Linked DNA regions of Mus musculus. The protein of the gene in region 1 binds, or shares a complex with, the protein of each later gene. Links are inferred from orthologs where the notes say so. Each region holds a gene or a part of one and is shown in the gene's direction. Other genes may lie near its edges.

Region 1 (3,746 bases):
TGTGTGTACAAGTGTTTTGACTGCATGTATGTCTATACACCATGTGCATGCCTGGTCCCCAAGGACGTCAGAAGGTATCGGATCCCTTGGAACTAGAGATAGGGATTCTTGTGAGCTGCCACGTTGGTGTTAGGAACTGCTTTTCCAAAAGTAGTAAGGGCTCTCAACCACTGAACCACTTCTCCACCCCACCTCCTCAAATAGGAACTTTTTTTAAAAAAAAGATTTATTTATTTATTATATACAAGTACACTGTAGCTGTCTTCAGACACCCCAGAAGAGGGCATCAGATCTCATTACAGATGGTTGTGAGCCATGTGGTTGCTGGGATTTGAACTCAGGACTTCTGGAAGCACAGTGCTCTTAAATGCTGAGCCATCTCTCCAGCCCGAAATATGAATTTTTTTATTGACATGAAAACTATTTGTTATTGCCTTTTATTATTGTTTTTTTTTTTTTTCCGAGATAGGTTTCTCTGTGTAGCCCTGGCTGTTCTGGAACTCATTCTGTAGACCAGGCTGGCCACCAACTCAGAGATCCTACTGCCTCTGCCTCCTGAATGCTAGGATTAAATATGTTCACCACCAACTGCGAGTTTACTTTTTTTTTTTTTTTTTTTTGATTTTTCGAGACAGGGTTTGTCTATGTAGCCCTGGCTGTCCTAGAACTCACTTTGTAGACCAGGCTGGCCTCGAACTCAGAAATCCGCCTGCCTCTGCCTTCCGAGTGTTGGGATTAAAGGCGTGCGCCACCACGCCCGGCGCGAGTTTACTTTTTAATTTAAAAAAGTCTCACTTTGTAGTCCCTTTGGCCTGCCTTGGAACTCAGTGTGTGTGCAACCAGACTGGCTTCGAACTTGTGACTGTCCTCCAGCCTAAGAGCTGAGGTTACAGGTGTGTCACCTACCCAGATCACTTTTAAATTGTTCAGCACAAGGTTTGATTCGTTCCTTCTGTCCACACTGAAGGCAAAATCTCTTGGTTTTCTCCGCTTAAGTCTCTCCAGTACCTGTTATATGAGCGCATTTTAGGAGGCTGTGGAGGTCAAGTTAGCCAGCCTCAGGGAGTGCTTTGGAACTCTGGATTGTAGGATGCCTTTCCCAGGCCCTTGGTCTACTCCTGACACTGGTCCAGGGGTCGGGTGGCATGTGCTACTGAATGCCACTGGGAGGCGCTCGCTTGCCCGCTCTCGGCCATAGCTTGGGTGGAGCGTGACACCGCGCTTGGCCGCTCGGGGGAGCTTGCTCGCTTACCCAGTGGGGCCGCGGGCAGCGCCGCCCTTTACTAGGGAAGTCGCGGCCCTCCGCCACAGGCTCAGTCGCCAGGCAGTCTCGCCATGGCTTGCTACATCTACCAGCTGCCGTCCTGGGTGCTGGACGACCTGTGCCGCAATATCGACACGCTCAGTGAGTGGGACTGGATGCAGTTCGGTGAGTGACACTACTTACTCTGAGCCAGGACCCGAGATAGACAGACAGATCCACGCCCCCCCACCCCCACCCCGCCCCGTGTTACCTGAGGCCGGGGATTCCTGTGTAGAACGCTGCTGCTTTGCTTTACTTTGCAGAACGAGCTGGAGCTGCCTATGAAGTTGCTTATAGCCTAGGGTGGTCTGCTCACTATGTAGCTTCTTGGCGAGTTTTGGCTGTCTGTATGCTTGTAGAGCTGTTACCAGGGCTGTGATCTACCTTGCAGCCTGTGGTATCTGGGGCCACCCTCCTAACTTCCCTGAAACTTGCCTTAATCTATAAACTGCAGCTGACAAGGGTAGATTCTTTATACAGTTGTAAAAATAAAATAGTGTCAACCGGGCAGTGGTGGCGCACGACTTTAATCCCAGCACTTGGGAAGCAGAGACAGGTGGATTTCTGAGTTCGAGGCCAGCCTGGTCTACAGAGTGAGTTCCAGGACAGCCAGGGCTAAACAGAGAAACCCTGTCTCAAAAGACCAAAATAAATAAATAAATAAAATAAAATAAAATAAAATAGTGTCAAAGAATGTACCTTCCCTACCTTAGTGTCGTCATTCTGTGGCATATTTTCCATTCTTATTATTTTGAGACAGGGTCACCCAGTGTAGCCCTGGTACTTGCTTTGTAGATCAGGCTGGCCTGGAACTAACAGAGCTCTACCTGCCTCTCCTGCTGGAATACTGAGTTAAAGGTGTAGTCCACCATTCCTGGCTAGTCATTTATTTTTCTGCAGTGAGGGAACTTTGATCCTAGGGCCTCGTGCCTGTTAGAAAAGTCACACTACCACTGAGCCATAGTCCAGGTGACGTTCTTGGACTTTTGAGACCTGTTTTTCGTTTGTTTGTTTGTTTGTTGTTGTGTTTTTTAATGTAGCCCATGTTGCCTTGGAATTTGTCATTGTCCTGTCTCAGCCTCCTAAGTGTGGGATTATAAATTTGAATCTCTTGTATTTGTGGGGTAGGGGGTGGGGTGGGAAGGAATAAGGGGCTCATGTAGCTCAGGCTAGCCTTGGATGCCCTGGAACTTCTGACCCTCTCACTTCCATTTTGGAATACTGGGATTGCAGGCTCAGCTTATGTGGTGCTGGAGATGGAACCCAGGAAAGCACTATACACTAAGTGTGGAATAGCCCCGCTACCTTATTCCTGTAGGTCAAACGCACATAGGAACAGTGGGTAAAGGCAGTGTAACTGTTGCCACTTAATCTCCTTTTGTTTTTTCAAGACAGGGTTTCTTTGTGTAGCCCTAGCTGTCCTACTCCCTCTGTAGACCAGGCTGGCCTCAAACTCAGAGATCCACCTGCCTCGGCTTCCCAAGAGCTGGGATTAAAGGTGTGCGCCACCACTGCCTGGCAATGATTTATGTGTGTGTGTTTATGAATTTTACTTGATTATATTTTTGTCGTGCTTGGAATTGAGTCCAAGGCCTTGTGCCTGTCAGGCAAGCATTTTGCCAGTGAGCTATATAACTTCTTAAATGAAATTATGTGTGTGTGTGTTCCATTGTTGTTGTTGTTGTAATACAGGATCTCATGTAGTCCAGGCTGGCCTAGAACTCATTACCTAGCTAAGAATGACCTTGAATTTCTGGTCTTCCTAGTGACCTCTCTCGAGTTGCTGGGATTATGTGTCACCATGCCTGACTTCAGTAATATATTGTTTAATTAAGATGTTTACGATACTGGAGGCTGGCAAGATTGCTCAATGGGTGGAGGCACTGAATATCAAGCCCGTGGACCCGTGTTTTATCCCTGGAACCCTTGTAAAGCTAGAAGGGGAGAGCCCACTCCACACAGTTGCCCCGTGACCCTACCCAGGCGCACTTACTACAATGAGTATCTATTACACAGCTATACTTGATACATAAAGTGGACATGTCTTGTGTTGTCCTGCCAGTTTGGATATATATTATGCATGCGAGGAATCGGATGTTCCTCAGCGGCAAAGCACTCAATTAGCGTGTGTTCCTGGGTTCCACCCCCAGCCCTGTGAATGAAAAGAAAACAAGAAAGGAAAAATAAGTATTTTAAGGTTATGGTTCTCATTCTGGGATTTTTTTTTTTTCTGTCAGTGGCAGTTGCCAATGTCCAGAGACATCTCTAGTTGTCACACCTTGATAGATGCAGAGGCTGAACACCCAACAGGACAGCCCCTCAGCACAAAGCACAGAGCACAGCAGCCCCCAAGGCTCAGCGGGGGGGGGGGGGGGGGAGGTCAGGGAGCCTCTTTACCCAGGAAGAAAAGGAGTTGATGTGCAAAGAAAAGTACTGTAGACAT
Region 2 (3,746 bases), on another chromosome or scaffold:
TGCCTAGCTCTTGTATTTCCCAGACTTTACAAGTAATTGATCATCTACATCCTCAGACATTTTCACCCACCAATAATCTAATCTATAGGATTCATCTATAAGCTTTAGGAACCTGTTTTCTTTTCTTTCACACACACACAAAGAAAAAAACTGATTTAATTTCCTGTATAGCATGACTAGCTAATGTGTTCATTATTTACTGTCCATCTTCTTCAACTTAAAGTGTCAGTTCCACATGAGCCAGAATTCTGACTAGCCCATATTCAGAACAGCACCAAGGACATAGTAGGTCTGCAGTAGATACTAGTTGAACAGATACAAGTAGAACACAGTAAGAGCGTTAATGGTGACAAGAAAGAAAGAAGTGTTAACTTTTGTCTATGATAATCAGGAATGGTATATAATAAACTGCTACTTGACTTTGGAAATAGTTCAAGAGACAGAAGCGGGGTAGAAATACCACGTGCAAGTACAATCAAGACGGGCACTGGGGGGGGGGGGGGGAAGGGGGAAGCCCTGACACAGAGCAGAGGGGATAGGGAGAATACAGCTGAAGTAATGCTGACAAGGAAAGATAGTGAACACCCTGTCAAAGGTTGGCATCTGCCCCCGTGGAGTTGTTTCTAATGGCAGATGGAAATCAGCAGTCAGCTCTGACCAAGTCCACAGGGGTCCTCGGAACCCTAGGGATTGTTGGAAAAGAAAGACCATAGGACGGCTTTCCAGGCTACACGTGGGGACAGTGCAGCACGAAGGCATGGCAGTCAAGCAGCTAGTCAAGAGGCGGGCAGACAGGGCACGTGGGGGCGAGGGTGGCAAGAGCTCCTCCTCCGCTCCGCGGGGCGAGCCGAGGCTGCAGAGGGACTCCCACCCCAACCCCACCCCGCTCCCTGGGCGCCGCCACCACGCCTCCCTCCCCGGTCCAGCAGTCTTGGATCCACCGGTGACCCGGCATCCTAATAGACTCTGTGAGCTCTACCTCGCTTCCGTGAGAAAGTGGTCCGCCGAGTGACACAGTGCGCATGCCCAGAAGCCTTTCCGCCGCCTAGCCTCTTACAGGGACATTTAAAGGGACAGGCTCCGGTTGGTGTAGCTCTTCCCTGGGTGGAGCTCGGGGAGGGAAAGGCGTGGCCTTCCGGATTGGCTCCGCCCCTATACTCTCACCCTTAGCTGACCTGCCCTCCCTGTCCCACAGGGGGATATGATGCCCCGGTGACCCGCAGCATCCCGATCGCAGGCAGTCTGAAGTCGCCTGGTGGTCCTGCGTCCTCCACCCCCGAGTCCTCGCCGGACCGTGGCGGGACGCCGATCGCCTTGTCCAGGAAGCGAGGGACGTCCGAGAGGAAGTAGGTTGTATGAGGAAGGCTGATCTCAAGCCACGATCTCTCCGCTGTCCTCTGTCCCGGGCCGGGTTGGTGATCAGTCGCTTCGCTCCAGAACCAGGAAATGGGCGCACTCGGGCAGAGGAGGCTTGGGGAGCCCCGCAGCCTCTGTGCGCTGCTCTGCCGCCGGAGTGTCTCGCTTGCTCGCTATGGGGAGCATAGGAAGCTAGCTGTAGTCAGACAGTCCAACAGGTAGAGGGAGAGGTAAGCGCAAGACAGATTGGAAGCAAGAGAGGGGCAGGAAAAGCATTCCCAAGAGAGCAAGAAAGCACCATTAGCTTTCGGAATGGACACAGTGGCCCCAAAGCAGGAAATTTAAAAAAAAAAAAAAATCGATTTTTCCGTTTCTGGGAGTAATTCTTCAAGATGTATGCCAAAGAGCTCAGGGTTTTTTTTTTTAATTCTCCTATTTTCATGCTAAACATTTTTGCTTCCTACATGTTTCAAGACTGATCTGATCACTCCGGCCAAACTTGGGCCTCCCAGTCTTGTCTTTGTTGTGTTCCCTGTTCAAACAGAAACAAACAAAAAACAAACAAACAAAACAACTTAGGAGATGAATTCGCACTCTACAGTAGCACAGACTTCTGTTGACTGCACTGCAGACAACAACGGACTGAACCGCTGAGCCTGTAAGCCAGCCCCAATTGAATGCTGTCCTTTATAAGAATTGCCTTGGTCATGGTGTCTCTTCACAGCAATGGAAACCCTAACTGAGACAAGTCACCAACTGGGAACCAAGTACTCAAATGAGGGACGATGGAATCCCCTCCTGTTCAAACCACCGCAGGCAGCGTTTAACAGACTGCCAAATGCATTCTCAGCTTGCTACCTTCTTCCATCATTAGAATAAAACTCCCCTGTGTTCTTGCCTCCCTTTTCTCCCTATTCTTCCTAACGTTTTATTTTTCAGGCACCTGGATTAATATCTGTCACAGATAGGACATGTCTTGGTGAATGGATGACATTATACATTTTAGTATACCCAAAGCGTTTTAGTGGCCACTGAAGTATGTCAGTGTTTAGAAATTGTGGACATCTCTCGGCATCTCAAAGGTCTTTTGGCAGATGCATCAGGAACAAACGGGGCTGCTGTAGGGTGAGAGGCATTGGGACAGCTAGTGTAGAACATGGTTGTTTGGGTATGGGGGAAGTTCAGACTGCGTAAAAGTATAAGGAAGAAGTGACCAGGGGGAGGGGCCAGAGTGGGAAGAAACCAAAAATTCTTATATAGGAGGAAGCTTGCTGGGCTTTTTGTTTTTGTGGGGTTTTTTTGTTTTTTTTTTTTGTTTTGTTTTTTGTACTTTGTTGTTATTGTTGTTGTTTGTTTTACTTTGCATTTTTTTTTTTTTGGTCTGTTCCCTGTGTCTTTGGGCCCCATCTCAATCCACAAGCATTGTTCACAGAGGAGAGGGCACAAAGGTCACCCCTAGCAGTCAGGTCTAGTCTTTCAGAGCACTGTAGCAGCCAAGGAATTGAGCTGGTCCCGAAAGGTGTTAAGCGGCTTTGACGTGTAAGTTTTTCTGAGCTCTGATGGGACAGAGAGGTTAACGGACACAGAGATGGCGTCAGCCCAGCTGCTTTAGTTCTGAGTCCTGGAAACAAGGTCTAGAAAGGTAAAGAGGGTTGGGCTGGATGGCCCATTGGTCTCCCCAAGAGGTCAGAGGTCATCCAGCTGATGATCCATTGGTCTCCCCCAGAGGTCAGAGGTCATCCAAGCTGATGGATGGCCCAATGGTCTTCCCCCGAAGTCATCTAGGCTGCTCTCCAGTGCTTAGGGTTTCACTGATTCAACTGCTTCAAGGTGACAAAATGAGCGATGTAGAAGGGACCTTAGGGTGCCTCAAAGGATGATCTATCCCAGGAGCCACAATAAAGCATAGCAGATAGAAGAGATCCAGAGCATAAGTCAGGAGGTGATAACTGTACAGCCTTGAGGGGAGCATTAGGAGGCAGGGAGCACACAGTGGGACCAATCTGCTCACCTCATGCTATGGAGAGAGGGGTAGAGAGAAAGAGGGAAGGAAGAAGGGATGAGAGGGAGAACAGGGTCACATCCTTCAAGGCATACCCCTAATCAGCCTTTCCATCTAGGTGGGTCTCACCTCCTAAAGTTACCACTGATTCCCAATACCCCATGAAGTTAAGACTCCATCCATGGATGAATACATTGGTAGATAACAGGAAAGCCTTCATGATCCAAACATGACGTCTTCTCCCCCGTCTCCGCCCCCAACACTACTATAATAGTGACAAAGCCTTCCAAAGAAGAGCTTTAGGGAGATGTTTCACATCCAAACCATACCATACAACACCAGTATCTACAATGTATAAGTCACATTAATGAATAAAATGAGTTTGGTC

Evidence for each region. The genes of interacting proteins can lie anywhere in the genome.
Region 2: the proteins of Irak2 (region 1) and Irak4 are in contact, whole or in part, in a crystal structure (PDB 3MOP), measured with the Homo sapiens proteins. The link is inferred for Mus musculus from reciprocal best matches to the Homo sapiens genes IRAK2 and IRAK4. Residues at the interface, in NP_001561.3 of Homo sapiens: Tyr6, Ile36, Lys44, Met48, Glu59, Trp62, Trp63, Trp64, Gly65, Met66, Arg67, Gln68, Ala69, Gln73; in NP_001107654.1 of Homo sapiens: Asp24, Phe25, Pro28, Gln29, Lys34, Glu92, Phe93, Phe94, Ala95, Pro96, Ser98, Val105.

What each region holds. Positions count from the first base shown.
Region 1 is NC_000072.6:113,637,213-113,640,958, forward strand, and holds the start of Irak2 (interleukin-1 receptor-associated kinase-like 2), read left to right. Parts: upstream 1-1,254; 5' UTR 1,255-1,335; coding exon 1,336-1,429; intron 1,430-3,746. UniProt on the Homo sapiens protein: Binds to the IL-1 type I receptor following IL-1 engagement, triggering intracellular signaling cascades leading to transcriptional up-regulation and mRNA stabilization.
Region 2 is NC_000081.6:94,542,481-94,546,226, forward strand, and holds the start of Irak4 (interleukin-1 receptor-associated kinase 4), read left to right. Parts: upstream 1-1,179; 5' UTR 1,180-1,346; intron 1,347-3,746.